4 linked regions of the Drosophila melanogaster genome follow. The gene in region 4 interacts genetically with the main gene of each other region. Each region holds a gene or a part of one and is shown on either strand. Other genes may lie near its edges.

Region 1 (8,363 bases), on a different chromosome or scaffold from region 4:
TTTGCAGATTAAGGCGTTTCCAACTGCTTGTAGCTACACAACATAAATACTATTTAATCAGCACACACACGCGTGCAGAATTAAGAAAAAAAAACGAAATCTTTTTGGCTAATACAATTAAACTGATAACTTAACTAAATCAAACAAGTCGCTCGACCAAAAACACCCACTGAAAAGTGTCGACCCTTTTTTTTCCCGCTGCCTTGTGGTTGTGGCGCGACTTAATTCCAAGTCCCCTGTTTTCCTCGAACTCGGCGAAGAGCTGTGAATCTAGAACTGAAAACTTATGTCAGTGGCACGCGTCTGCGGCACGTGACCCCGACATGAAAATCACTCTCAAGATCGCTGAGGATGGCAAATGGATAGGGCTGATGGTGACGAAGGAACTGGGCACTGAGTTCTGGGTGGTATTGTCCAAGTGATGGAGGTGATGAATGCCTGTGTGCAGATGCTTTTAAATTTAAATCGAATCAAATTGATTTGCGCACAGTTCCAGTTTCACTTTTTTACCCACGACCGCCTTACACTCGAAGAAGTCTTTAACTTAGAATCAAAGAGCAGGTGAAAAAAAAATTATTTAAAAAATATATATGTATATATTTTTTTTATATAAGCAACAATGTTAAATAATGTATTGTAGATATTGTAATAAAATATTATTTTTCGTATCAATTTGTAAAGTTTTCTATTTAAGATTTCGAGTTTTTCCTAGTAATATGTGGTATTAATCTTGGATATTGACAGGCACAATATATTCTGATAAAAATACTTTTTAAAACATAATTTTTTGAAGTGTAGTATCAATTGATATCGCCCTTTTTTGGAAAAGAAGAGTGCACCGTGCTCTGACCACGTCCCAGCTCCATTGTTTAGCCATTTGACAAGTGTTTTGACAATATTTATTTGAGTTGCTACAAGCCACGGCAACGGCCACGCCCACAGTCCCGCCCCCTGCGGCATACCACCCCCGCCTCCCTCTTCGCACACTAGAACCACTGCCGCTGGGTAATTTGATTTCCTCGACGCTGCCATCATCTGCATCCTTGACGTCGGACACGTTTCTGCCTAATGGAGTTGCTCGAGTGGCGTGAATTTCAATTAAATTAAATCAAAATGTTGCATTTTTTATTAAGCCCATTAGCGGCACACACGGAAAACCCGCCCCCTCAGAGGACCGCCCGCTGGCCCCTAGTTGGTTAAATTAAGTTAAGATACCACCTCGTCAGTGCGAAAAGAACTTGTATCTTAATGTGCATAATGAAGTGCCAGACTTGACTTGCCATCCAGGAACACCTGGATGTGCCAATATAAATCCGGTGACTGCACTGATCCTACTGCTGCGAGGAAAAGCTATCGGGAAAATCCCAGTTTAGATGAAAATGGGGCCATTCAATAACTGAATTGCTATTTTTGCTAGCAAAATGATTTTAAGGGATTTACTTATTCAATTCATAATTATTTATAAATAGCGAATTCTTAATTTATAGTTTTATATATACACACCTTTTAAATGATTTATGTAAGTTTCTTATTAATAGATATTTATTTACAAGAAAATGTTAAGGAAAAGGCTGCTGTTTTTCCGACTGTTTCTGCGAAAAGCCAAATATCAGTGCACAAGAAGAGTTGGTGGGCGAAGAAAAGTGGAAGTGGAGTTTCCTATTGTTGCACATGCATTAAGAGTAATGCTGCAGTGCTCGGAAAATGCTGGAAAGAGGGTGAAAATGCTACTTTGAGTGGCAATAAACAATGCATAATGAGTTGAGAGTCGCGTTATTATTGTTGCAGCCCGTGGCTGAGACTGTTCATTACTCAAACAGGTAATTTAAATTAAGCCAAAACAATACGCCAAGGTGGCATTTAAAGTAGGTGCAAAACGCATTTCGCCATTAGGAAATTGCCAATTAAGAAGCAAACACTTCTGGGTCCATTCATTACTGCAACACTTGCAGGCAAATCATTTAATTGTCTTTTAAAAATATACTTAAATCAGCAGAGGCGGCAAAGTATTACAAGTCTTCATGCACTTTCTCAGATATGACTAGCCACAAGCACTTAATTCTTGATATCACTTGGAAGTGGCACTTCCAAATCAAAATTATATACATTTAGTAAATAAGAACTATTCGAAAAGACATTTTTCATTTAAAAAGGGAACATTAAGATTTTACTAATTTTTCTATTATCTTAAAGAAAAAATTTTCTAATTTCCACATTCCGTATTTTGTTAATACAACATTTCATTAATAATAATGCAGATATACCCACGATGTCAGGATTTTAAAATAATCTTGAATAATTTGCAAAAGTTAGATCAGAGCAAATATAACATAGATTTAAATTTGTGATACTGTTACCTAACAGAATTTTACAATGTTATTGAAATGTTAATTTTAACACAAAAAAGTGCTCTTCTGCTAATTTTTACATGCACCCAAGACAACAACCATCGAATACAACTGAGTATACGTTCGTTAAAATTTTGGTGGCAACGCTTGTATTCCTAATCTATTAAGATGGCAAGGCTCGTTATCTGAAGAATTTACATTGGCAGCATCAAACATCATTAACTTTGAACTGTTATACAATGGTGCCAATGTAACTTTTTCTCGACAAATGAATTTTGTACTTATTTACCCAAGTGTATATGGAAACAATCAGGTACCGAAAATGTGAACTCTTACAATATATTTTACCTCTTTTTCATCTTAAGTTGTTTTTTTATAAAAGATATCAGCACTGCTGCAAAGACAGCATGCTTTAATATATAATATATATTAATTAAATAAGTTTCACAGTTTTTACGTGGTGTTAACCAACTTACAAAATTCACTCACAAATGTTAACATTCTGTACAAGCATTAGTGTTACCAAATACTCGATAGTATTTTCGCCGTTCCACCAGCTGGTCACACCAGAGACGAATTTAGAAATCTAAAGAGAACCCAACAGTTTCCTAATGCAAATACAATAAACTAATTGTTTAAAATGTGACAACAGTGAACCAAATGCTTGCTGAGTAATAAACCAAAGGATGTTTTGTTTTTTTCTAAAACGTGCCAAGTGAATCGGCTCCACGCAAATGAGAGTGCGGTCTGAAAACAATGGAGCTGCCGTAAAGAATTGATTAAACAAAATAGTCGAGAAGAGAGCGCAAAATGCACAAAATGGTTAAATTATTCCTCAGGTAATTTCAGTCCCAACAAAAACAGCATGTGCCAGATTGCTTTCGTGCTCTTATTGCTGTTGTTGTAGTTCTAGACTCTCTCTTTGCGCTTTAATATTATGAATGACGTAAGCGCGCCTCTTTGGTAGCAATACAAAAGCAATAACAACAATTTGGTTTTGTTGCTTTTGTAAACAAGGAAAATAACAGAATGGTTTTGTACCGCTCGCGTGTGTGTGTGCATAGGTGAGTGGGGAGCTCACTCACCTATGCACACACACACACAAACGCAGGTAAAAGTGGCGTCGTTGGATTTTTACTTGGAAAACGTGTTCGAACTATAAAGAGAAATAGTAAGAGAGAGCTGAGCAGTCTAGCGCTCTTTGCAATGTTATTTCTTTTTTTGGTCAATGACCTAAGCTTTTTCGTCCGTTAGTTGAATTCGTTTCTTTCGCCAATTTCCGTGCTTTTGTGTGCGAGTTAAAAAACTTGGTCTATTTTCACAAAAATCATTGTTTACACTTTGTTGATGTGTAGGTAATTTTCCCAGGCTTTCTTAGCCTCATTTTTCAAGAAAAGGAGTAAACACTAAGTTGGAGGCCAAAGTTGTGAATGGTAAAAAAAAAACGTAATTTTTAAAGAAATTTAAAAAAAAAACTGCCAGCAGTAAACAACGTACAAATCAAAAGAGAATAATTGAGAATACTATAATTAATAGTGTTGTATACATGAAATGTTCAAGAACTTTATTTCCCGAACACATAAAGCATGAAATGAGTCTTCATAGTGTTTCCTTATATCTCTGAAAACAAATAGTATATCACTCGATCATCCAATTGCCTTGCTGTTGTGACATCTTGACAGTAATTAAGTTTATGCACTCAATTGTCACAAAGCCGGAAACAAAAGTGCACAAAGATGTAACATGTTGGTACATTTTTTGCAATGACAACAGCACGCAAATTAGTAAACATTACCGGCCAAATAACAATGCACTGTTTGGAAAATAAAGTAAATATTATGAAATAAATATTATTGTTGTTATACAAAACAGAAAGCAATTACGGAGAAGCAGTAACTGCAGCACAGGTATATTTGCATTCGTGATAACTTTTTGGTAAATAAATTATCTAAGCAATAAAAATGTTTTAAACTTGTAGGATTTTATTTTGGCTTATAAACATAAATACACTTAAAAATAAGTTTTAGGTCGCTTGTTTCAGTTTGTTTCAGAATGTTTTAAGAGCACCGTATAAAATTTTCGAAATTTTCCACAATCTTGAACGGTACTTCTGCGTATTAAGATTAATTGTTTGGCCTTTTATCAGTCTATTTCACTGGAATAAATATTTAACTAGTACTCAGATTTTGTAGGGCACTCTATATGCGGTGTACTTTGCTGACCGAAAAAAAGAGAGATACAAATGTTGAGAATGCGAGGGAAAACGCTTTTGTGATCTTCTTGATTTAAAAATTTTAACGCCAGTGCTGACCGAGCAATTAAAATGTAAACAGGCGGGAAATGAATAAGCGTGCCAGGGAAAAATAAAATGAAATCCCAAAATATTTACAATCATGCAGCAGCAGTTGCACATAAAAACCCAGGAAGAGAAGAACGGAATCTTAACGTGTATGCTTTCGAAAATATACTTGTACCTTAAAATGGCAAATTGGCAATAAGAAACCGACGCGACATTAATATGGCTAGGTAAATACAAAGGCATCATTACCGAAGGTCGTTTTTGTTTGCGTGCGATAAACTTTTTTTCTTTCGACTTTATAGCAAATATTCACGCATACAAACAAACCCGAATGCTTCCCTGTGTTTGCGATTGGTATTATCTGTGTAGGCCTTTGTTATCCAACCATTTGCTTATCTGGGCACGGCTGTCAATGCGTGTGTTTGTGATGGATACTTGATTGAATTGTTGTCCGTATGTTAGCGCCTAAAAAACAATCGACAGCCGCTTATCAGCTGGCAGAAACATAAATAAAATTTCCTCAAACTGAAGCCGAAGGTAAAATGCTCTCTAAATCAATTGCTATTATTAAATAGTATTAGCTTAAGAAGCAAGAAGGTTACGTTTCAAGGGTATACAATAGTCGTTAGCCATGTCATCGTAAAGTCACTGCCCCTCCTCGCACACATTCAAACAGTTTGTCAATCAACCGACAATCGGTTGCCAATCAAACAACAAAAATTCGTGGGTGAGGTGAGTTCTAGATTTTCTTTGGTTAGAGGATGGGAAAATCTGTCTGAAAAGTGGGACAGCAATTGACTGACTAATCGAACACATTGTTTAAGTCAATTATTTCCATTTAAGCTACATGATTCGTTTCGAAAATATTTCACAGTATATGGATGTTTTGAATACTTAGTAAAAATATATAAAATTCGCAATACTTACTTTCAATGTATTTAAAATATCAATTGGATTGGACATAATTTACACTTGTTGCATTCCTTTAACCTTATCCACAAATTAACAAAGTCCAAATTGTTTTCCATTTGAAGTACAAATATTATTGTTTTGTATTTTGTTATCTTATCTAATTCTTCTGAAATGACAAGTTATCCAATAGCAAATATTTGATTACTACAAACTATATTGTAATTATGCAGTAATTTTGTTTTTCCCAACTAAAGATGTTAGGAAAATAGAAACAATCACAACTAGGAATCACTTTCTTATCTGCATCTTCTGTTGTGTTTTGTGTGTCAAGTATAAAAGTATCAACAATATGTTATCCCATTTTATCTCCTCCAATTAAATACCCAAAATAATGGCTACCATTGTTAGTACGTTCAAAAAGTGTAATCCGCGATTATCCGAAACCGCAATTAAAAATGTTTTCACCTTGTTCTCAACCCGTGGCCAGCAATTAATAAGGCTTAGATGGATTTTTGGCCAGCATACAACCCCAGATAACCCACAGTCGCATGGCATCATCGCGAAATGCTCATAAAAGGCGCGTCTATGACAGCATCTCCTCCGCTGGTGCCGTGCAAAATTGAGTATTTTTGGCCAAAACAACAAGCAGGGCAAATAATACACAAAAAAAAACCAACAAAAACCTAAAACAAAGAGCCCAAGCAAACGTCTTGGACATGTGCGCAAAAATCTTTTGAACTTTCGCATTCGAGGCGGGCGAAACAAGTGCCAAGAGCAAACCCTGACATACATTATAATTTGTAGCAACGCCCTCTTTTTTTCGAGACCGATTTTTTTTAATATAGATATATAGTTTTTTTGCGGCTATTTTGTTCACCTACACGCGCGCCTAATCCCATTTCGAGCGGCATCAATAAATTGTCGGCCTGGCAGATATAGCCAGATTTCTATTCGCATTTTTAGCTGTTCAAATAGGTGAGTTTTTTTGTATAGTATATATGGCCACCTATTTGGTAAATAGTCTTTAGAACGCCCACAACAGCTGTTGACACTCACCCACGAAATGGAAAAGGGAAACGCTATGGAAATAGCATTACCTGGTATTCCTATTTTTGGCCAATACCCAGGTGGATCCACAGAAAAAAGTCAAATTAGTGCCGAAGGGAGTCCCATCATTAGTTAGTCACCAAACTCTCGGTCAACTACAATCTATATTCGCATTTTTTCGGACATGAGTAACCGTGATAACTAGTAATTGGGAGCAAATCGGTTTGGACCCAGGTGACTAAGTCACTTCGATCCATAGAAATGTAAATGCACAGTCCGTTTAGGAAAGCTATGGTCTTGCAAACCAATCGACCGTTAATAATGAGGCCTCACTGTTCATTAACCCATTTAAATAAATGAATTTTTGTAAGTTTAACTCGTAAAATATTCTTGAAATTTAAAACATTAACGAAGTCCATTTAAATATTAGTATAATAAGATCCTGGACTTGGCAATATAATTTTCAAACGCACTATAGATTATGTTGACTTTCATTTGAGTTTCCATTTGATGGCAAAAACAAAAGAAAGCTTAAAAGAGAAAGTATCGATGCAAAAACAATGGTATCAATTTGTAAAATTATGACTTAAATCAAAGATCTGATAATGGCAACGTAATAAAATGGAATGAAGCAAATAGATATATTTGAATATATTGGGTAGATTGGGGTAAACGCAACTGCAGCTATGTTGAAATGATATAAATTGACTAGGTAATACCTGATAGTGAACCGTTTTCTAAATTTCTTAATTTGTCTTTTTTAAAAACCTTTTTTTTATTAAACCAATTTAAGATAAATTTATAAATAATTTGAATGTTTAAATGACCACCTTTATGTTATACCTTAATACCTATTATTATTTATTTATTTGGTGTGTAATCAAATTATTCCATCGCTTTGAATGACTTTTTGGCCTGGTCAACGAAAATTATAAAACAATCGAGAGTTGCCCACGCGCAAAGTGAGTTCGGTGGCGTCTTCCTACTCAATTAGGCGGCATTGGTCGAATTTTCGCCTTTTGATTGAATGTTGTTTGTTTTGAACTTGGGAGATGGGCTGCGAATAAAGAGAGGGCTTCTCTTTTGAATCGAATTCTCAGATTCTCCGCTCTCTGCGCCGCGGCGATCGATGGTGGAGGTACTTGTGCTGGGTTTGTTGAGCGTTGCGACTCATTCGCTTGCGTTCATTCGACGCGTTAACAACGTTGCGTATACGCCTCGTCGCTCGCGCTGCATGAGTGTTGGTGAGCCGTCGCCTACGTGTGTGCGTGTGTGAGTCTCTTTTTTTCGAGTTCTCCTGATATTTACGAATATTATTCAGCCGACTTCCGTTCCGATCGCATATAAAACCGCGCCTGTGTGCGCGCCATATAAAATCATTTCTAAATTTATAAAAACAAACGCGTATACACACGCACACTTATTCGCCGCCAAAGAAATCAATTTAATTTGTGCAAGACGTAATGCCTCAAGATGTATATTTATGCATAAATATTTGCCAAAAGAGCACCCACACATAAAAACCAAACAAAAATCAACAACCAAGTGCCGTCTAGCTGCTAAACAACATTAAAAAAAAGTGGGAAATAAAATTTCTTGATTTATTTTCGCCAGACAAATGTCGATATAAACACACTCTTTCACACACACACACACGAACACAGTGAATTCTCTTCGCTGCATTTGAATTATATTTATTGTTTGCCTTTTTGTTGCTTTCTATATGAGTTTTTGAACATTGTTTATTTTCACATAAA
Region 2 (7,110 bases), on a different chromosome or scaffold from region 4:
GCAAAATAAAAGAAAACAAAATGTTAAACTACACCAATCTCTGCTCAAGATCTGCTTATACGAGCCTAGTTTTATAGCAGTCTACTTTATTCAAGCTGGCAATGCTGTATGCCACCGTTATTGGATGATCGCTCGGTTGGTACCCTCGGACTACGAATGGCTAACTAGTTTGGTGTTACGTTTTTACTCGGCTTGCCAATTTACCCAAAAGGAATTTGTTAAAATAATTCTTAAATTTTATTTTCCTTTACATCAAACTATTTAATCTCAATGGTGATTTAATTTTACGGCAGCTGTTTTCTTTGAAAGTTAAAATTTACCACACACATTATTCTTATTCCTAAAGTCCAAACTTTAATTAATTAGATATTCGTTTTTATTTACAATTTATCGCTGCTTTCTGCATACATTACTGACTAAGTGCTCAAAATAACCAGTTAATGGGGCGCATTTAAAATCATCTTGTAATAAAAGACACTAATGGATTTTTGAGAGACTGAGAAGAACTGAGAAAAATGCACGAACATATGCGTCACATACACCCCACCGCATCCGAGGTACCTGCTGAAAACAGCTGGTTGTGGTTCTTTGTACTCGAAGCAGGTGATAATAAAGGCGCAATAGTAGCCCAGTCAGTTGACAAACAAATCGCAAAGCAGAAGTACCGACAGGGGCCATTAGTCCAGATCCTCCAGGTAGGCATAAATACATATATATATGGGCATTACTGGCAGAATGCGGCGCACAGAGAAAATGAAAGAGGCGTAAAAGGTCAACGCTATCCGTAGTCCGCTTTGTTTACGGCCTACATCGTGAATCAGAGAGAGTACTAAAAGTGCGGATTATACGCGATTACGATGACCGGAAGATAAGCCAGTCATTGCGAATTCCCTGTCCATAAATGCTGACCCGTCAGCTGTCCAGTGTTCAGTGATCTTTCAGAACCGCATCGTTATACTTGCAGTCTAGCCATGAAAACCTTTCACTCCCTACTATTCGCCCTGATTTTGGCCCTCGTGAGCCTGGACCCCTCTTCCGGTTACTCCCGCCGGAAAGATGAGCGTATAATTAGAGAATATAAGCGAGAGCAAGAGTTAAATCACGCCAAGATCGCCAGAGATTTGGTCCATCGCGCCAATTGGGCGGCTGTGGGAAGTCTCTCCACCAACGAACGGGTGAAGGGGTATCCCATGGTCAACATTATCTCCATCGACGACAGCGATGCTAATAACAGGTCCACTGGACGTATTCGATTCCTGCTAACCGATTTGGACTTCACTGGTCCCGACTGGCAGAAGGACAACAAGGTCACACTCCTGTTCAGTGACGAGCAGACCCTAAGATGCAAGGAGGGCGGAAAGGATCCCATGGAGCCTACATGTGCCCGTTCCATGATCAGTGGACAGGTGAAGAAGGTATGAAAAATGAATTAAATCCTATTTAAAATGGATTAAGAATGTTTTGGCTCATTTGAAGATGGATCCTAGCGACAAAAGCTATCAGCCATCGCTGGATGCCTATGTGAGGCGTCATCCAGCTGCCATCAATTGGGTAAAAGGTTGGTGAAAGCGAACCTCATTAAGAGCTCGATATGTATGTACTAATAATAAATACGTTGTTTCTTTTACAGCTCACAATTTCTACCTTTGCGAACTGGAAATTAGCAATATCTTTGTTCTGGACTTCTATGGAGGTCCTCATAAAGTGAGCGCCTCTGACTATTACGCTGTTTCGAATTGATGAACTCCTCCAAAAGCAATCCAACTGACGCCTCATATACTTTGTCAAAAAATGAAATGATAAGCATATTTGCACAACATGTCTGCCACAAAGGGAAAGAATGAAGACAAAGGCCTTTATGAAAGCCACTTATCAGTTGAGCTCTGTGATTTCAATCGATAGAACAATAACTTTGATATAAATAAAAATACATTCCGTTGAATGTACTCTGACATACTGAAATGTATTGTTTTGGTTTAAGAGAAACCAGAATTGTTTAACTAAAATGTTTTCATCTTTTTAGATTCAATTTACATTATTTATGTGTATATATAAAATACTTTTTAGTTTTATATGTTAGGCGGTAGCCTAGATGGATAATTTATCTGACTCATTAGGTAAACTTCACGCTTTGAGTAACTTATCCAAATATACCTTCTTCTGAAAGCAAACTAAATCACTGCACCCACCAATTCGTAGATAGAACCATTAGTGGTTAATTTGTATGTATATTTTAAACGCAGTTTTTCAAAGTTAATCGATATAAATGTAGTGGCGCAACGCCGTGGATTAGTCTTTCAAGGGGTTTACAGTGGTTCCATCTAGGTACCGGGCACCTTGCACAGGGTGGCATCAATCTTCTGCAGCTGCGGCAGTATGTCGCGCAGTTTGGAGCGGTAGCGAACATCCTTGGCCAGCGGATTGTACTCCAGGTAGATGGTCTGCAGCGCCTTGTTCACCTTCAACAGCTCAATGTCCTTCCAGTCATCGACTCCGTTGTGGTTCAGCCACAGCTCCTCGAGCAGTTCCAGCTTTTCCAGATTGGCAATGCCCTTCAACCGGTTCTTGGCCAAGTCGAGGGTCTCCAATTTGGTGTTCTCCGAGAGGTTTTCAATGGTTTCCACTCCGTTTTCCGAAACGTAGAGTTCGCGGAGGTTGGCAAGCTTTTCAAGGTTCTCGATTTTTACAATGCGATTGGCCTGTAGACTGAGTATCTCCAAATTGACCAATGTGTCCAAGTTCTCGATCTTTGCTATCTTATTTTTGCCCAGGAAGAGCTGTCGTAGATTCACGAGCATTTCGATGTTTTCGATCTTCTTCAGTTTGTTATCCCCCAGCTCTAGCATGGTCAGATTGGTGAGCATGTCCAGGTTCTCGATTTGGGTTATCCGGTTCGACACAAAGTAGACCTTCTCCAGCTTGACCAGCTTGTCAAGGTTCTCTATCTTCGTCAGACGATTGAAGCTAATGTCCAGCACCTCCAGGTGGGGCAAGTCGTCCAAATTCTCAATCTTGGTGATCTGGTTGTCATACAGCTCCAGCTCAATCAGTGTTTTCAGGCTGGACAAGTTCTCGATTTTCTTGATCAGATTCCAGCGCAGAAACAGGCGCTCGATTCGAGTCAGCGGCTCGAAGTTCTCCAGCTTCTCGATCCGGCGATGATTCAGATCAAGCTCGTAGCAGTCCGGATCGATTGTGATTATATCCTCAATGGAAGCCACATCCTCGGCGGGAATCACCTGGATTCCGGACACAGTTTTCGCGGCTTCTGGTTCGTTCATCGCACGATCAGCATCGCCCATGACTGATATATTTTGACCGGCTTTTCTTTTTTTTTAATTCAAGTTGACTTTCGAAAATTGAACGCTGACTTGACTTGTTGTTTATTCCGCTGCTCAGGGTGGAACAAAGTGGGGTGACTTTCTTTAAATATGACGTCAAAGCTTGACACTGTTACAAAAGCAAGAACACACGGTAAATATAAATATGTAAATTTAAAATAAATATGTATTAAAATATTTACTTAATATTTATAAGTTAAGTCCAAGATGACTGTATACTCCTTTTGGTCCAACTTGTTCAATATGTCAACAAAATACTTAGTCACCTTACCGGCACTTTAACACTATTTCTACTAGAGATGTGCACCTAAGAACACGATGCTAAACCTGTATTATTATATATTCCAATGTAAATGAAAAACAAATATTGATTGATAATTTGCCAAATAAACTAGAACATAATTTTTGGAACCAGCTTTACGTAATTTTTACAATTTTAATATCTCTTTTAAGTTTTTCAAGCAGTTGTGCCAATGTCGTTCTTGATTGAGAAATGCGCATCTCTAGCATTTCTTCTTCTATCATCAGTGTTAAGCAACGCCGGCGGGGTTCAATCAGATGTTTTCCAAGCGTGTTGATTCAATTGGCAACAAATTGCAAATTGTTTAAAAAAGACTCGAAAATGGCTTTCAAATGACAGCAAACAAGTAGTTTAAACTGTCAAAACAACGGATAAAAACGAAGCGTTGCAGGTGGCAGTGTTTATTAAAGCAAAGAACAAACAATCATGTCTACGGGCCTAAAATGTCGCAATTGCGGATCCAACGAGATCGAGGAAGACAATGCTCGCGGAGATCGAGGTATAATGACATCCAAGGACCCATATCCATGACACTAACGACGTTCACCCATTCACTGTAGTTTGCATGAACTGCGGCTCGGTATTGGAGGATTCCCTCATTGTTTCCGAAGTGCAGTTCGAGGAAGTTGGCCATGGAGCAGCCGCAATTGGCCAGTTTGTGTCCGCCGAGTCGTCGGGCGGTGCCACCAACTATGGCTACGGCAAGTTTCAGGTGGGATCGGGCACCGAATCCCGCGAGGTGACCATCAAAAAGGCCAAGAAGGACATCACACTACTCTGCCAGCAGCTGCAGCTATCCCAGCACTATGCAGATACTGCTCTGAATTTCTTCAAGATGGCATTGGGTAGGCATCTGACCCGCGGTAGGAAGAGCACCCACATCTACGCCGCTTGCGTGTACATGACCTGCAGGACAGAGGGCACCTCCCGTGAGTAGTGCATTCATTTTGCCTAAAGAGTAGCTTATTGACTGCTCATATCTTCACAGATCTCCTCATCGACATCAGCGACGTACAGCAAATCTGTTCCTATGAGCTTGGTCGTACCTACTTAAAGTTATCGCATGCCCTTTGTATCAACATACCTTCTCTGGGTGAGTGAACGTTGTGAATACTAAACTATACACCTAAATCCCAATCCACAGTCAAGTCAAGCCATAGCTCCACTCTTAATTTTTGTTTTTTTAAAAATATTTTGTTGGGTTTGTTAGATTTGCTTGCTTTCCTTTTATCAGGTATTTAACAATACTCTACTCGTTCCTGTTTTCTTTATGCACTACTTACGTGATGTCAAAATATCCAAAATCTTCAACTCTGAGAAAGTAAATTCGCAAAAATCTAATAATGTATTTTGTTTGATTAAAGTACATAATGGTAATAGATTCATAATCAATACAGGATAACATTTTATATAGATATATGTATATAAAAACCATAATTGTCTTATCAAAAGCAAAAAATCAGTACAATTTCCAAAGAAATCCGAAATACAAACGTAAAACTGATTGTTGCGCTCAGCAGGCTATAATAATGCACAGGAGAAGTACGGGGCTTAGTATCAGTAGAAAGGCATATTGTGTATGTATGAGAGATATAATGGAACAACTACGAAATAGATATAATGCGTACTACAAGATTAATATTTGAATATATATGTAGGGGGGATTTTGTGCGCATCTCGTACAAGATCCCTTGATTTCATTTTTGTTTGCTATTTCGTTAACTGGTTAACTTGGGTTTCAAATTCGTCGTATGCAACTATTAACATGGCCTATTCTCCCTCGAAGTGTTTAGGACTATAGTTTATCATTATCAGATCAGATGTGTGTATATGTTAGGTATATGCTGGCAAAAATATGTTTGGTATATATCGTATTAGCTTTTGTCCACTCTCCCTTTAACTGTCTTTAGAATATTGGTTAACGCTAGCTTGACTGATTGCCCGATTTTCACTTATTGCATGTATCTATGCGTCTCTATTAGCGTCCATATGACCCCATCCCGCCCTCTTAAGTCGTGGAACGTATTAAGTTTTCGAGTCAACTACTAATCTTTATCTATAAAGTTAAGAGTGTATATGATCAACTTTTTCGATTTTGAAAATATCTTTATATGCATTACCAACAGACTATGTGCAGTGCGTTTTAGAACTGCAAAACCATTGATTTCACTTGCTTAACATACTTGGGATATCGAAGGAAACTTTCCAATTATAGCAAATTTCCTATATCGATTGACTTGCATCGGCTGACTTTTTTTTTTGAGATGATCACGTACTGACAATCGTCTTGGAGTTTTAAAACGCACTGCCGAGGTGTATATATATGTGTCTATGCTTTGACGTGTATATATATGTTTATATATAGGACTATTATGAAAACTAGAGTACTCTACTATCTTGGTATATATATATATATATATATATATATATGAGCCTAAAACTCCAATTTACTTTCTTGTGCTGCACTGAAAACCCATGAGTTTCGATTTTGTATCTGTATCTTTTGCGGTTGCTGTGTTTTGTATTGTTGTGTTGGTCTCCTCTGTTGCTGCTGCTGTTGGCGGTAGTAACAGGCTCCCTGCCACTCGGCGCAATAGAGCTGTGCGCATCAGGTGCTTCCGTCGCCATCCTCCCCAGAACTGTTGGCGTTATTGCCAGATCCATTGCTGCTATTCGGAACAGCTGTTCCGGCTGCTGCGGTTGAAGTCGCTCCTGCATTGGAGGAACTGCCACCAATTGGCGTGGGACACAGTGAATTGGTGGGCGAGCTCATTGCTGTCACTGTGGTGGGTCCGTAGAAGATTAACTCTGGGATTTGGCCGCCCTGAACTCCGGTGCCGTTGGTGCTCTCCGACGAGCACTGGAACTGGAATGTCACATTGCCCATTAGCACCTCGGACATGCCCTCCTGGCCAAAGAAGCTAAGCTCGTTTCCATCGAGAATTACGGAGGCGGTATAATAACACTCGGGCTCGATCTGGATGGGATTCTCGAAGAAGACGTGGAACGTGTTGCTTGATCCGTCCGAGAAGAACTTGGTGTCGTTCTCTGCAAGCGTGCGGCCCAGGCGTTTAAGTTCGATCTTTACGTTGTAGTTGGCAGCACCAGTCGACGAGCCGTACAGTCCAAAACCCACAATGAAAATTCTGAAATTTTCAGTTTTAATTACCTTAATCCAATAACCATTTGTTAGATAGAACTTACCTTCGATCAACAGAAAACTGAATTGAATCACAGCGCCCGCGGTAGCGCCACTGGTTCGAGCGATAGGCGCACGACTGGAAGCGATGGCAGACCTGGGTCTTTAATCCCGCCCTGGAGCGTGTGGGAAAGCCCAGGGAGGGCTTCATCTTGGCAGTGAAGTGCAGGAACATGTCGATCGTCTCCTGCGACGAAAGAATGCCTGTCTGGGCCACGCCGTTAGCGAACTCCTCCAGCGACATTGTGGGAATGCGGATGAGGTGCAGC
Region 3 (8,083 bases), about 17 Mb from region 4:
TTTTACTAAAGGGGGAAATGAGGGGAAAGGTGAGCCCTCAACTAGAGGTGAACCTTGATTTAAGTACCCATCGCCATTCCACTTCGTACATCTGTGCTCAACAGTCATCCCCAAAGTATAGGTTTTGATTGTTCGTAAACCTTGGGAACCCAAAGGTTGGTTATAGTTATTTTCAATGTTTGTTTGTAGTATCCACAAAACCAAAAGTAGTGTATTCCAATGCCAAAACTAGAGGTGCAGAGAGCGCAAGAGAAAATAGTTTTGATTTTTAAGAGCATTTTCTCTTTGCAAAGAGAGCGCAAAAGCTTTTGTAAAGCTTGCAAAAGCTCTTCAAACTAGTTATCAGTTGGGGAGATCTCCATTTCGTTGACTAGGTCAATTTTTTCGACTCAATGCGAAAATCGCCGGCAGCGCTGCCGAAAGGCGAGAATCCAGCGAAAGACCGCATGATCTTTGCTAACGGTGAAACTTAATTCGAAAAGTCAACATTTTGTGGGCAAAGGCACTGAGACAAGCAGAAAATTGAGCTTGCCATATCTAATGAAATCGAAGAAAACGCTGCACTGGAAAAATACTCAGCATAGGTTAAACATATTCAAACTGAAATTTCAGTTTAAAGCTGTTCGTTTTATTAATCCAGTTTAAACTTTATTGTTGTCCGTTTGGTTAAGAAAAATGCAAAATTTATAATATAATTATAAAATGAATATGTAATAATATCTGGCGTATTCGAAGAGAGATTTACTTTCCCCATTTCTATTGATTTCCAGTGGAACAGCCATCAGTTTTGACATTCATATATTATGTATACTAATATAAATCACTTAAGTTTTGCCTTTATATTTATGACATTTTAATCAGTGTTGTAGGTAATAATCGCTTATTCGAGCTTGAAACCTTAGAAAGACAATATATAAAAATATCTCCCTGTGTCGTGATGCTAATGCATAAATAAACAGTGACATCGAGCGGTTAGTCTAAATTACAAACAAACCGAAGATTGTAGTTGGCGAACGAAGACCCGACCCACTGCTAATATAAACAAGTATCCAATTTGCTATTTCCACAGATAATTCAGATGGACTGTGGGCGAAGCGAAAGCTTAAATGTCGCTTCGCCCTGCCCAATTATATGTTGGTATTATTTATGCACTGTTTTTGTGGCATTTTCCGATCACGTTTTCTGCGATTCCTGTGTTTCTCACTACATTATTCATAAATTGCTGACATTTTGCATTTGGCATGGTCCCGAACCAGAGTCGTTGCTCCACGATTCGATGATCCAGTGCAATGAACTCGCAGCCCTGGCTGAAACATATCGAATGGCCCTTTATGGGGCATATTCCACAAAAACTACTAATGTGGAGCACTCAAAACACCCGGGCACCGACATTAGGGTCTAGTTAGCATAATGCACAGCCAAACAACAATGAGCACCACACGCAACGTCAAGTATGTATATACATATGTATCTAAGTATCTACGTATGGCGAAGGGAAAACATTGGGGCAGTTTTGAAAACATTTAACCGTTTCACCTCGCTGAACTGCGAGCTCGAAAAAGCAAATTAAGCAAACGAATTATAGCCGAAAAGCCGTGGCAATGTTTGTTTTGGGCCAAGTTTACGCCGCCCGACAATCTAAACTCAAATATGAATTTTATCTCTTTGTAACGTTTCTCCAAAATATGTTAATCCGAAGGCTGTATTGTTTTCATCAGTTCACAAATTACGGGTGATGAAATCGGAGCGGAAATTCGGGATAATTAAAACTGGAAGTGGCAAAAAAAAACAATAATTGTAGATATATGTACATAAGCGCCAGTTTTTGTATCTGATAAACAATAAAATCCGATCTTTCTATTACTTCTGATTGTAGGCAAAGACAAGTATTTAGTGTGCAAAAAGATTGATCGCTGTGCCCAATCATGTATTAATGATATGAAACGACTGAGGAACTGTGGATAATTAAAGCGGAGTAGAAACATCACGCAGATGGAAAACATGCAGATTCATTCACACCAGTTCCGAGTACATCTGATACTGATTGCAAAAACGTTAGTGCAGTAATATTGCACATGTGCGGCAATGAGTGCGCATAAAAAGCGCAAAGTACGGCCATAAAAAGCACAGTTAAACTGATTGCCAACTGTTGGCATGACGGAGCAGCCCGTGGCAGCCCTAGCTACCAGACCAGACCAGACCCACGATTCTTCAACCCATTATTCCCAGCCACCGCTCATCCCGCTCGGACCATGCCGCTCCAGCTTTTCATAAAGCGCCCCGTCGCATTGAAATGTCACGCAAGCAATTTACATAAATGGAGTTGCTTCCGCTTGGTGAGCTGGAGAACGGAGAGCGCGGAGCGGACACAGTGCATCGCATCCAGGCAGAAGAGGAAGCTATCTTGTGTATCTGACGGGGAGTATCTGCCTATCCGAGCGCTGCTCACGTACGAAAACAACTGTTAGCAAGTGGCGAATGGGCGGGTAAAAGGCAACAGCCGATAGCGGCGGAGCGGAAGCGGACGAAGGAATCGAATCGATCAAACAATTTCCGAGCTGCTCGTCTGCCGAAAATACACAGCGAGAAATATGCCAGAAATCATAACTCGTTAAACCTAGAGATACTTATCTGCCTCAGTTAAGTTCAACTTTGCTAGTTTCTTATCTAAGATTATAAGAGCAGATCGAAGATCTTCAAAGAAACACTTGTTTATTGCTCTGTATGAGCTTTAAGCTAGAGCATCTTCGATGGGTTTCCCACTGACCAACTTCACGGTTAGTTAACACCTTAATTTGCCTACAAATTGCTCAAGTTTGGAGTTTTGAGTTTCTTTGGTCATGGTTGCGTCTTTCGTTGCCCCTTTCTTTTCGGCGGCCAGCTGAGAAGTGCTTGGCCAGATGAAAACTGAGGAACGGAAAACTCAGTGCGTAGACCCACGTGCTGGCCGCATTAACTTCACAGTTTTGTAAGAGGGAAAACGGAAAAGCGGTAATAAATGCCCCGATGTGCGTGCTGGCTGCAAAACTGAAAAGGCGCTTTATTATCGCCACTTCGGCGAGGCATTTTGTAATGTCTAGGCTGGAAAAATCAATTCGGCCGTGAAACTTCAACGAAAACGAAAAGCATGCTGTTTGCACCCCCGAAGTGCAGCATATTTTTGCGACGACGCACAGAAGCCGGCACCCTGGGAAATCACATGGATTTGGAAAGTCCTAACCTCAACATAATAGCGGAAAATGAACTAGCGACTTGGGGCAGGCAATGGCCACAAAGCACGGAAATGCCCCTTTCAGCGTTTCAGTTTTCGGGGTGAGTTTCGGTCTATGAAATCACTTCCGCTTACGCTTTTTTCCTCTGACATACAGACAGTGGGTGTGGTGCCGAAACACTTGTCACGCCACAAAACCAATGATTAGCCGCCCAGCAGCTGCAAAAATCGATAAGGTCCGTGGGTCAACAGCGTTTTGGCCTGTCTTGCCGGTTTTAAATGCATCCAAGTTTTTAAAAATGCCTGGCTGAAAGTAAAACAACTTGAACCACGAATCTTTTCTTTCGTCTCATCAAATGTTGTTTATCGATATTATTATTTTATCGATCGCCTTTGATTTCCTTCAATTTCTACCCCGGTAACACCACCTTCCCCTGCACTACAGTCTGCTTTAGTTAACTAGTAATCCCAGCTTGGAAATTGAAATTCCTTGTTTTTTTGTGACGCATTGCCTGTTGCCAGGCGGTTGCATGTTGATTTGGCCCACCCTCCTCCTCTCACCACACGTCCTGATGACTAAGAACGATTTCGCTTTCCTCGCTGCCGAAGCGAAATTCAATACAAAAGATGGGAAAACGCGTGCCGCCGCCTTTCACTTTACTTGTTCGTCGGTTGGCGCAGAAAAGAGTCTGTTAGGCAAATGAATGGGCAACCGACTGAATGGATGCCAAAGATGCTCCACCACCGGGGCGGGGTGTTAACAATTCCCGAAAGACAATGCAGTGTGTTGTTACGGAGCATATATAGTATGCATAGTTATAGTATATACATAGAAGATACCACGCACCAGAGAGAGAGAGAAACCCGATCAGACCAATATAATGTCGAAAGTGACGGACGGTACGGAACGCACCTGCTAGGCGATGGGCGCTGTGCTGATGACGCGCTGCTGCAATTGCATATGTATATCAATTTGTTGATAATGATAGTGGTGGCTATGGCCCGGTTTTAGGTATCGCCGATTTCCAGACTTCCAGATCGTGGGCCCGAGGAAAGCGCCGCTAATGAGCGAGGAAAGCGGACTTCTTCGTACCGGACCAGTTGGATGTCGTCGTCGTCGCCTCGCACACTCGAAACAATTTGTTCTTCTTTTGCCCACCAACACGTTATTGAATCTCTTTCACTGCCAGCTAACTGGTTTTTTCAGTGCTCCGCCACTGCTCGCCAAATACACACACATTGACCACTTTCCAGGGTTCTCTTTTCACTCACTCTCGTGCTTTGATGTCGCGATTTTACCGATCTACCGCCTGGGCGTTCAAATTGAATTTCAACCACGACGTCGTCGCACAATTCCGCTAATTAAACTAGTCGTCTCGGTTAACTAACGCCCGGAAAATTGTGGCCGCGCTGCGCTCGAAAATTCGGACCTCGCGCTGTAGAAATGCAAGAATAACAACAACTGCGCCAGCTGAGCGCCAGCTGAGCGCCAGTGTGGCCAGCCACTCTGTTCGCGGTGGGGAAACATCGATGCCGCCATCGATGCTGACAATCGGCCTATTGAGTACTTGTGGCTTAACATTTTCGGTGAGTTTGAAATTTTGGCGGTTAAGGTGCACTTACCAGATTTAAAGGAACTTAAGTTTTCGTGACAAGTTTGTATAGCATTGACTAGCCTCCACTATTTTGGTTAAGAAAATATAAAACCAGCAACAATAAGACTAATTGTAGACGGATAAAAAATTAAAATCTTAATAAGGTCACTGTAATGAAAATGAAGAAATGAAATGAACACAAGAACAAATCAAACAAATGTGCTTATTTCCTGGGGTAAATATCTCATACTGCATTTGACTAATGATATATATTATACTTTCAATCAGCAGAATGGTAGTCTAAGAGAAAAAACTCTTGCACCCAATATTATGACATTCCTCGACCAAAAAATAACAATTTAGTTGATAAATATTTATACCCAAGACTTAAGCTTCAATTTAAAAATAATTTAACCTGAAGTTCAGCAGGTGGTTAAAATCGACTCCGTTTGATAATTTAATTTCATAAATACATATATTTGATACAATATATGTAATTACATTAGCTAAGTTTGGTGATTTAAAGCAACATGTATCTCATTTTATAGGACGAAATTCTTGGGTGGATAGGAATACAGTTCCTAAGCGGTTCCACCGAGTTGCTTGGAAAGTTGCGATCAATCCACTTCCTGAACATGGACACATTTTTGAAGGTCGAGGAAACGTTTGGCCTGCCGCAATCGACGCCCCAGGCCACGATCCCGACCTGGTGATATCTAGCGAAGATTGCGTCAGGGGAACAAACCAAGATGGACCCACCGTCACCAACGCAGACATCCTTGTCCTTCTGTCCGCTGACACATATGAGACTGGTGGCAAGCTGAAACCTGGTTTTCCTCAACATATTCTGGCAATCTCCTTTGTTTACTATGGGTAACTCGATTTGCTTTTGTATACTCGACATTTGAGAGTCGTTAAAAGAACGCTTTCCCCATCCGGAAATCACACAGTGTGTCTGCTCAATGGACGACCCTTGAAGAGGTAAGCAGATGGGCTGTATGTCATTTTTAAATGCAAATGTAGACTCCAGGTATAGACAACAACAGGTGGGCTGCCGTTAGTACAACCTCAGGGGCAATCAGGGAACCTCCTCCAAAGAACGAGGACAGGGACGGATTCTCCATCTGGTGTAGTAGGGGTAGAATGGATACAAGCTGCGTACAAACTCTGTGAACCTGTAGTGCACTTACTTGAGCTCTTATTTCACTTACTTGAGCCCTTATTTCACAACACACTTAAGTGGGTCCACAGAATACATTAGTCGGTCGATGCCAATCGCCGGTTTGGTGCACTCCCATCGTTGGCCAAACATCGTTTTGGATAATAACAGGCGTGGCCACAAACCAACCAGCTCAGGAGAAGCACTCCTATGGTCTAGTGGCACTCCATTGTCCGATTCAGAAGACTACTTGCCGAAGACTGATATTGCAATAAGTGGTCTCAGCAGGCTTTCTTATTACATTTCTTTTTTGCTGATAAGAATAAAAAAACATGCAACACGCTTTCCAAGAAATTGAAAATTGTAATCGAATTGTTTTATATTTTATATTCACACATATTTCTATTTGTTTATAACCCAATAGGCTGGAATACAAAAAGGTAATCAGTATATACATAGATAACATCCACTTTATTCGGACTTTAAATAAGTAGCGATATGAGTGTTTAGAGAAGCACCCCCAATCCAAATTGATAACCCAGAACGCCGCTCTCACGAAGGCCCATTAGCTCAGTTGGTTAGAGCGTCGTGCTAATAACGCGAAGGTCGCGGGTTCGATCCCCTCATGGGCCACTCTTCATTTTTTGCTTTTAGCCGGATAACTAGCCAAGTCGATCTAGGCATTCCAGTCTTCCTCACTTATCATCTAATCGATGTAGACGCCCGTTCACGTAGTGACGAAGCGCACCCTGAGAGCGTACGAAAGTACTCAGTGAGCATTCAGAACACAGTTTTCTAAAAAACAAATGTATAGAGACATCAATGTGCTCATTTAGCTAATGGGCATTATTATTGGTCTCATGTCAGGAATAGATCTTTAATCGCATTCAAATTGCATATCATTTCGACCAAAGATGTCTTATTAATACGAAATTCAGTAATCGCAAGATAGAAACTTACGCCCGAAGGTGCAAAAAGGTCAAAAGGTGCAATAGGCCATTTTGCTGCGAACTATACAAATGAAATATAATTTAATAATATAATTATTGGAAATATATTAGTTTACTAATTGATTACGAAATCCATTTTCCTTGAAACTCAATGTACAAAATGCAAGCATAATATAATTATTATAAATAGAATATTAGTTTTATTATGTTACAGTTTAATAATCATTCATATTGCATTAAAACACAATCCTATGTTTTGAAACATAAATCCCCTCAAAATATTTGCTTTCTACGTACTGATCCTAAAAATGTAACTCATAATCACGTATACGCAATGTTGTCTTGTATGTGCGTGCAGTGCAGTTTTAATGTTTAAAATTAGTTATTTATTAAAATGCAACTTCCGAAAAAGCATATCCATGTGGTGACTGGAATCTCCTACGAATCCAAAGGATCAGTTTAGGATTTTAAAATTCCGAGCCTTTGGCTAATCGATTATCTCCCAACTTAGCATGGAATTGAATCAACTAATTTTTTTAAAGAACTGACATCTGACCATTCCCATTACTGCATTTACTTTATCTTTATTATGATGTATTTGAAAATAGTCCTTCTAAAATAATAATCTAAGAAAATTTTTATTAAAATGTATAAACCGGATGAGCGGCGTAGACTCAGAAACAGCTCAGTTCCAAAGCCTGCCAAGTAAACTCAATAAATTTTAATTTTCTTTCGATGTTTCCTTGGACTTGGAACGCTTTTCCGTTTCCTCCTCAGTATACTCCGAATCATTGTCAGTTTTTCGCGAGTCTTCGCGTTCCTCGTCCTCCTTTGAAAGCTTTTCCCTGTATTTGGCATCCTCTTTTTCCACCTCCTTGGAGTCCATTTCCCGAGCATCGGGCTCCTTTGGCTTTTCGGTCGTGGTCGTATAGATCCTGTCGTAATCATCGGCGGAATCCTCGTTACTGGCCAGGCGCCCCCTGGCCTCCACGGGAGGCGGCAGAAACTGACCCACTTTGAGTTTGGCGGGCAGAGGCTCCAGGGATCGCAGTAGGCCGTAGGGTTTCAAGTGGTAGATGAGATAGTCCAGGACATAGAAGGAATTCGGAGCTACGTAGTGAAAGGAGATGGCCAAGTCCGAGCAGCAGTCGAGACCCTGTCGGAACAC
Region 4 (8,551 bases):
AGCTAAAAGTTCGCCGAATCGGAAAATGCTATAGCCGCTGCGACAGTTGGTGCGTGAATCACGATATTGGAATGCCCCACAAGAGAGGAATTGGAGTTATCGGTCCAGGGAAGTTGTCCGAAGTTACCCAGCGAGGCAGCCGCGAGAGGCTGGGGCATATGAGGTCATCAGTCTCGGATTCTCGCTCAACGGCATCTCGGGCATTCCAGGCAATCGGTGAAGCGAAACCAAAGAAAATATATCAACAACACCTAGATGTTGGTGATGATCAGACAGGCGGGAATCAAAGTAAGAATGTTGGGAAGGAGTGCATTCCAGAGGGGAGCCCCCGATTTGGGTTTGACTATTTTTGGGTGCCCAACCGCAACCTTGAACATGCCAAGGTATCGGCCGAACAGCACACATAAGAATATTGGTGATTTTGAGATATATCTGTGGCCATTATTTACTCTCTGGGAGCGTATGTTTTTCGCCAACTTCTTTTGTTTACACTATTCCGAAAATGTAAATATGAACAGAATAATGAATAGATGTCTCCGGTCCCCCTTTTTCCATCACGATCCAAATGCGAACGTTCGATGGGCCCATTAAAATTTGTTACTCTTTTATTTTATTCCTTCGCTTAATCGATCAACGTATATGCATTGTTGAGGATGGAAGTGGAGATGGAGAGGGTAAGAAGCGTATATTACACATACGTGATACGAGGCGCAGGTTCGTTGACCGTAAACCGGACGGACGAGAGTCGAAAGCTGGCTACGTTTGTCATTGCCGTAACCGAAAAGAAAACACACACTCGCGCGGCACGGGCATCTCCGCCAGAACCAATCGCGGCACGCCAAAGGGCGGGGGCGCGGAAGCGGAGTGGGAGTGGTCGCAAACAAAGTCCAAAGTGGTTTCTTTGGTTATAAATACGAGCAGCACACATACAAGCGTGGAAGTATGAAACGCAGCATGTGTGGGTGAGCAGAGACCCCCTAATGATCGCCGTTCGTTACAATCGAATCGATTCTCTGGACATGACGAAGGTTAAGCCGACTTCAATTTGGCTAACAATATAAAAAGTTTTCAGATTGGTCTCGGGAGTGAGGCGTTCAGGAATGCCTGAACAAAGACAGCGGATAAGAAGAGCATTAGCGCTGAAGAAGAGGGAAAAAAGAAAAGAGGTGTAAACACATTTCCACCGTGTTCACGAATTCCAAAGTATTAACTTTTCAATTTCATCGTTGGACAATGGAAAAGTAAGCTATGAACTATTAAAAGCATTTAAATAGTTTCAAGATCGCAAATATACATTAACCTATAACCCGAAACCTTCAATGTACAATATATCTAATCCCCACCAATAAACTTGCTCTCTGTGCAATTGATTCGATGAATCATCGCTGTTCAGCAAACAACATGAAACGAAATGTAGCCACGAACAAAAGGTCTCCTTGTGTATCCACCAGTAAATTACTGAATTTGGATATCACGTACGTGGACTGACGCCGCCATTATTCAGCGAATTCGCTTACATTTCGAAAAGCTGGAACAGTTGCTGGAAACGAAACGAGTGTTGACACAATTGGCGAATACCCTTTTGGACGGGTCCGTTCCCGTTAAGACGTAGCTGTATCTGTGGACATTCCAGCGGAGCAACAGTTGCGCTATATGCAAATTTCTTAACTATTTCCACCCGTCTCATGTGCCGTTCGTCAGTCGCAAAGAAATTTTAGCCTTTAGACAATCTGACGGACCACTCATGACAATCGAGCGTTTCGTTATTTTCGTTTTATTTCTGGGTTTTATCTCTGCCGTTGTCTTTTTGTGAGATTCCATTGTAAAGTAAATGTCTGTTAAAGTGATCGCGTAATTACACAAAAATGTGAAGTTGTTGGCTTTTGTTTTCGATGTTGCTTTTATTATACGAAGTCACCCAAAAGTGCTACCATTCTATGTACGGAATTATCTCTGGCAAATACAGCAATTACGGGCAGCCAGGGGAGAAAGGAGCGGTTGATAATTTTATCTGTTTACGTTTTTTATGGTCTTGAAATTAAGTCGTTGGAATGCAGTTGAATGACACCTGAATGAAATCGCTTTAAACTGAAGAAGAGAATAACAAGCCACACCGAAATTAGCAAAACAATCGGCTTGTTATCATAAGGCTTGATCGCTAGCAGTCGACCAAAGTTTTGAATTTGAATTTATAGGCCAAGAGCGGGCGCCCGAACTCCGAGGGAAGCGATTCTTTGGCGCAATCTCGGCTCGTTTCTTTGCTGGCCTGGCTGTGTGGTTGAGGCCAGAAAGCCCCACACAAGCAAGTCCACACCACAAATACCTAGCCACATTGAAAACTTGTTTTGGCCCGCTCTTAGTGGGAACTGCGAACTGGGGCCATTCCTGCTTCCACTCTCCCTCGGAGGTGAGTCACTGAGTCGAAGAGCGTCTGCATGCAAATTGGTACCAAATGGTCGCGGATTTGACCAAGTAAGAAGTTAAATGTGTCACACTACTACGGTGAGATTAATTCAGCATCAGCGCAGGAGAAAAGAGTGATTCAGCATCGACGCCAACGGATGTTTACCCAAGTTTATCACCGCGGTGCGAATGTAATGAAAATTCAAAGAAGTTGGGCCTGTTCAAAATTAAAAATAAACGGATCGGTGAAGCGTGATTCATGACCAATCGATGAGTGAGTCGGATGGCTCAAAAGGTGTTGGCTGATAAGAAGCGCAAAGCCGGGGACAAACACTGTGAAAATTGATTAGAGCACGTACAGCTAGGGCTAAAATATTATCACGATGTGTCGAACACACTATGTTCTATAATAACCATTCACTGCGAAGTAATACTTAGATATTAGATAGTTACATGTAGCAATTTTTTACGCAAAAGAATATGAAAATTAAACGAAAATTAAGTACATTTGGTAATTTTACAAAAAAAAAAAAAAAAACCATAATGGGCTAATGACTACCGACTTCACGAAATAAACAGCGTTATGATGTATCGACTGTATTTTTATCTCAGTTGTAGCAGTTCCTGTTGCATTTAGGCTATCTATAGGGTCTATTCAGGTAGTTCACTGAAACGGGCGTGGCTTCCGGGGTAGAAATCCCGTAGCAGAGGTTGCGTCCAGAGTAGGAACATGCTCTACGGGTAGGCATTACATTTAAGTAGACTCACCTGGTTCTCGTGTGGCACCCACACCAGACGCTTCTGTGTCCACTCGGCCTGCGTGGCCGGATCGTTGAACTGGTTGCGCTCCACCGAGAGGTACTTGAGCTCCGGATCGTTGCGATCTACTTCCTCCGACATTTTGGCGGCGATCTCTAAATAATTCCTTGTCTGTCGGTAATTAGCTGCTTTCGGATAATGGATATTGGATACTGGATATTCGCTTTTCGGATGCAATGCACTTTTCTGTCGGACAAAACAAATCGATGAGAACAATGAGTATGTTGCCTCGCTCCTCAGATACAATATTTCGCATTTATCTCGCGTTTGCGTTCTTTATCTCGGAAGTGCGGCACAAAACGGAGGCGGCGAGAACAGCGCGCGGCGAGAGTTTCAAAAGGGAGAGCGCGAAGGCGAAAGAAAGACGGAGAGGAAAAAATATGGCCACACATTTTCATTTTCTTAAGCCAAAGTCACCGCTGAACGTAGAAGAAGGGGTGGTGAAGTAATTTAGCGGAAAAATAGCGTTACGTAGCAATTAACCAGTTTGCATCTCCTAAAACTGCAGCTAAACACTATCAGAGCACCTTTTCACCTCCGATTTCGGATGTTTCAGTTTTCGGAGCAGGTACAAGCGGCTCTTTTTCTTCCTCTTCGTCTTCTCTCGCTTTGCTTCCCACTTGGTTCGTTCTGCAACACCGACACACAGCACGGCTCACACACACACACACATAGATCGCACTGGGAGCCAAGGTTTCGCATATTCGCATATTTCGCACACAAGTTTCGGTTTTTATGCTCCCATTTCCCCGCGTCAGCACAGCGTTTGTGCAAATGCAGCCAAATTCGACCGTGCAGTTTCAGCTGGCGGCGTCCCGACGCCGGCGAATAGGTCGCTGCATTCGCTGGATGCCTGTGCACATTTCCGATTTTTTTTTTACCGATTTTAATGCAAGCCAGGCGCTTTTCATTTGTTTGGCGACAGCTGCACCCACACACACTCACAAAGACTTCGACCGCAGTTCCTGAGCACGTCTTTTCGCTTTCCCCCTTTTTTTTTCACTGTTTTTCGCCGCTTGCCGTTTTGCCGACCGAGTACTTTTCGAGTTCGATGGTAATCGATGCCTTCCGATTCCATTCGGACATATCGATGCATCGATATGTCGTAGTTCACACGACGGCCGCGGCAGCGCTTTCTGAAAACACATACATCGATATGTCAACACTGATTAAAATTCTACATATGGATCGCATCTAGATTTTGTTTAAAGCACACACCTGTAACATTTTTTCAGGTCGGCCATTGTATTCCTCTATAACAGAATATCTAAGTTTTTAGCAAAGTATCGCATCAGCTTCCTCTGGTTCATGACTGCACTTAAGATCGAAATATTCGCGGCTTCAAGCCAAGCGGTGTCGATTGGAATCGAATACTTCCGGAATAGAAATGAGATTAAATTATTTTGCCGATTTCACTCACTTGCATATTCAGATGTAGCAAAGGATGTTTCCAACTCACTTTTCAATTTATAATATTGGTCAAATTAGTGCAAGCTAAGTATCGTATATGTCGATTTTACTTTTGACATATACGTAGTTCATTTAGTTGGACCGCACGACAACATCAAAATACCTTACCGCCTTTTTGTTTTTGGTGTTTTGCGGGGTCTCGCGTGCTGTCCTCTCTTCGAATCAGTTCTTGGTAAAACCAAACTTCAATAAACCGTTGGGTTAATGCGCGGATGTGCGGATACTTTCAGTTAATTTTGAATTTTTCGAGGAACGGTGAAGGTCCGCGCTTGAATCAGTAAGTCCAGTTCCGAGTATCACAGCCAGATGTGAGTGCTTGGCGCCAGTCGCAATTAAATTGACTTTAATAAAATATCTGGCGGGCTCCTTGCGAACTTTTAATTCTGGGGAAACGGACTTGAGTGATTCCAACTAAGAGCAAGAACACAGTTCCTTAAATGAAGTGCTACTTCTGGCAGCGTTCTTGAGATGCGCGCAGCATCCTTGGCAATGACGTCATTCGCCTGCTGACCAGTTTCTCTGTGTTCGTGTGTATGTGTGGCGAGAGTGCGTATGCGTGTGTATGTGCCGAAATTAGAGCGCAATAGCGAATTCAATTTGCATTTGCGGAAGAAATAACTGCAAACGAACAGAATCGATTGTTGTTGTCGCGAGTGCTTTGTTAAGGATAAGAAGAAGTCGCGACTAGTTCCGCAAAACTCTCACGTTTTGTCTATGGTTTCTCGTTTCCAGAATCCTAAGTGAGGGACTCCGAATAGGATTCATTGGATGACAAACTAACGTGCAGCCAGGAATTATCGATTCAGGTAAGCCATCGTTTCTCCTTGAAGCAACTGGGTCAGACAGCGATAATAATTGCACGTGTAGTTCCTGGTTTTCCACAAAATTGTCGTGGTAAGCTGAGCCACCCCATCTTCCCGAAACCTTCCAGCTTTATGCTGATAATGAATTTTTAATGTGCGCTGAGACTGCTAGTAGAAAAGAAAAAACAAACCCACATAAATTAAACTTGCAAAATCTTCAAAGGACAGAGAACTGCGTCGGTGCTTCCATTCCGCTTTTTTGGGAGGCTGTAAATTATGAAAGACCAGACAAGCGGTAGACAACAAGGTTTGCCCGTTCCCAAGGGATCCCGGGGCAACATAATCAAAGGCCTTTATTACTGGGCTGGAATCGGATGGGGCCCGTCCGGAAACCATGCCGCAGACGGCTTTCCTGGCCCGGAGTCCCGTGACAGGGCACGTTCGACCTAATAAGCATACGTCGTTGAGTAAATGGGGGCCGTGGAACTTTGCATTTACGACTCGGCAGAGCTGTAAGTGCTTCCGGGCTGCCCCCCGAGGGCAAGAATCGATTTTCGATGTTAATCGAGTTGAAAACCCTGCAAACTCGGCTGTGTTTGTGTCCTGTTCAAAAGGGTGTTTCACAATGACCAGACATGGAGGCCCTTAAAGTCAGTTCCAATTTCGCCTGGTCAGGATAGAAAAGCAGATCTCTGTAAGCTCTCCTGCGATCATATGTATTCGTTGTTTTATTTATATTAGATTTGCTCATTTGCGTGGTCCACTCGCAAAGTTCTCGACTCCTCCTCAGTCCGCCGTCAAAACTTGTTTTATATTCAAATTTTGATGCTTCTGCTTGGGTTCGATTTGTTTGGAGATCGCTCTTCCCTCTCTCGTCATCTACTTATTTTCGCCAATTTACATAATTTTAGACCGATTTATGATGGCACTCGATTGTTGCCGTTCTTTCTGGGTGCTAATGGTGTGTGATATCATCATCCAAACAACACATGTTTGCTAATATATTTACTTCTTGCTTTAATCACACCTCGTTACTGCGATCTTAGTGACAGAAATGTAATGTACATGTGCAACTCATTCATGAACACTTTCAACAGCTGAATATATTTACGTTGCCTGGTAACATGATTGGATATTAAAAACTCTGAGAACGTCCCCTGCATATCTGACATTTCATAGCCTCAAGTGGGCCCCATTGAAGCTTGGCGGCATTGAAATGGCGCCAAGTTGTCGTTCGCTCGTTTGACGCCTCCTCTCCGACCTCCTGCTCCTGGGGAGGAAACCTATTTGACGCCACACGCACACAGCTGAGCTGGAGGGCAAAGGACACCGGCACGAAAACAAATAAATGCTCAAGGAGTAGTCAAAGGGGGAAGGACGCGGGGCGATAGCAATTGTCTGCGAAGGCAGCGAAGGGGATAACGAAACCTTGGCTTGATATCAGGATTCAGGATATGAACAAAAGTTGGCAGTTAATTCGTTTCGAAGCCGTTGCCCGCATTGAGGTCTCTCTCAGATCCTGTTGAAGGTCGCAGGATTCGTAGGAGGCACGATGAGTCATCAGTTCTTTAGTTAATGGCCCAAAATGGAGAGCAACAGCTCGGGGGAACGTCGTAAATTTCCCATTGCTAGCAGTTGTTGATTATGAAATTTTATTCTCTGCCCAATTAACTTGCGTCGAGCACGCGATGGCCCATATAGCCTCCCAAGCTCGCATAGATATATGCATAAAGACCGATGTTGCTCAGTTGGGTTTCGGATTGCGGTAGGTTGACTACGATTCGCTTTGTTTATTTGACGGAATGGTGCATGTAGGCCTGGTTCCGGGACCTCCAAGCACTCTCAAAAATGAAAATCGATTTTGTTTGATGGACGCCAGGCATGAGAGGTCGTGCACTCCGTCGACAAGGCAATTTTAGTGGGGCTGATGAGTTGGGTTGATGGGGGTTTTCTTGACTAAGGGTTACAAGGAAATGATAGTGAAGCATATTGGAATATATTAAATTGTTTCTCCTGCAGAAAAAATTGGAACATTTTTAATTTGATTTGTACATTCGTAGATTTTTTTTCCGAGCGAAGATGACAATACATTAAACCTAATTGAAACACACAAATTCCTGGCTCAGTGGTGGCGTGTGATGTCATCATATCGAAGATGTATATGGGAACCTTGAACCGAATTCTCCTCTCATCTATCGGCTCCCGCGATCATGACTCAGTTTATAAATGCTCATTTATTGCTATTTAAAGTGATTGAATCGGCTCCGTTTACGGCATTTATTCTCCGTGATCTTGAAATGTGCGTCTTTATTGGATTAAATTGATGGGTATTGGATTATGATTGAATATCATCGATGGTAGCACATTATTGCAAAATAATATCCGAATAGTTTGGCATTGCATCTGCAGCATCCTCTATTTTAGTCTAGTCTTGGGTTCACTCTGCACGCAGATTTAGTGTCTGGGTGAAAACCCTAAATGCCATTCGTGGTTTGAGGCAACCAGACAAACTAGAGCGGGTCGCAGTCTCCAGGACTTGACTTCTGAGCCGCTATGGGAGAATTTCGTGAATGAATCACGTTCTGTGGGATTTCGCTTTCTGGCTCAAGCTTTTCTTACAGCCTGTCGAGTGCACGAGAACAAGACGAGCGTGAGCGCGGCGCTGTAAAGGAGACTCCGGATTCAGTCCAAGAATGGGCACGAGGACGACGATGACGCGCAGAGACACTCACGAAAAAGGAAAAACGGAAAAGGCGATAGAAGCCTGTGAGCAACTAACAGCAGCTGCTTCTTCTTGTGGCATTGTCCTCTGCCGCCGAACCCATCCATGCCGGTGCCACCCAGGGGTGGTTTGGCTCAGCACTGCTCGGCGTCTGGCCCTGCTTACAGCATTACACGTTCCCGGAGCCGTGAGCCCCTGCTCTTGTTGCCACTCGCAAATCGTGGCTTCTATTTTTCGGGCAGTACATCCTGCAGACTGGCAGCCGGGGGGTTGGAAGCGGCATTCGCTTATTTTGTTATTTTATTATTTTGCTATTGCTGTCTTTATTCCGCTT

What was found.
Region 1: of zip (region 4) and raw, changing one suppresses a phenotype caused by changing the other (phenotypic suppression), as found in Drosophila melanogaster (one study listed by BioGRID).
Region 2: of zip (region 4) and sds22, changing one suppresses a phenotype caused by changing the other (phenotypic suppression), as found in Drosophila melanogaster (one study listed by BioGRID).
Region 3: of zip (region 4) and kermit, changing one enhances a phenotype caused by changing the other (phenotypic enhancement), as found in Drosophila melanogaster (one study listed by BioGRID).

Annotation. Positions count from the first base shown.
Region 1 is NT_033779.5:8,735,209-8,743,571, reverse strand, and holds the start of raw (raw), read left to right. Parts: upstream 1-2,911; 5' UTR 2,912-3,158; coding exon of another isoform or gene 3,159-3,187; intron 3,188-7,774; exon of another isoform or gene 7,775-8,363.
Region 2 is NT_033777.3:17,388,121-17,395,230, reverse strand, and holds sds22 (sds22), read right to left. Parts: upstream 3,638-7,110; 5' UTR 3,524-3,637; intron 3,475-3,523; exon of another isoform or gene 3,451-3,474; 5' UTR 3,303-3,450; coding exon 2,322-3,302; 3' UTR 2,211-2,321; downstream 1-2,210. Other genes in the region: CREG (cellular repressor of E1A-stimulated genes), read left to right, coding at 972-1,415, 1,477-1,558, 1,631-1,740; lute, read right to left, coding at 6,251-6,788, 6,847-7,110; Brf RNA polymerase III subunit, read left to right, coding at 4,069-4,141, 4,203-4,571, 4,631-4,735.
Region 3 is NT_033778.4:8,151,931-8,160,013, forward strand, and holds the start of kermit (kermit), read right to left. Parts: upstream 4,725-8,083; 5' UTR 4,484-4,724; exon of another isoform or gene 4,125-4,483; intron 1-4,124. Other genes in the region: CG8708 (uncharacterized protein), read right to left, coding at 7,637-8,071.
Region 4 is NT_033778.4:25,007,209-25,015,759, forward strand, and holds the start of zip (zipper), read right to left. Parts: upstream 4,256-8,551; 5' UTR 4,134-4,255; coding exon 4,104-4,133; intron 4,001-4,103; exon of another isoform or gene 3,892-4,000; intron 3,409-3,891; coding exon 3,172-3,408; intron 1-3,171. UniProt on the Drosophila melanogaster protein: Nonmuscle myosin appears to be responsible for cellularization. Required for morphogenesis and cytokinesis. Necessary for auditory transduction: plays a role in Johnston's organ organization by acting in scolopidial apical attachment.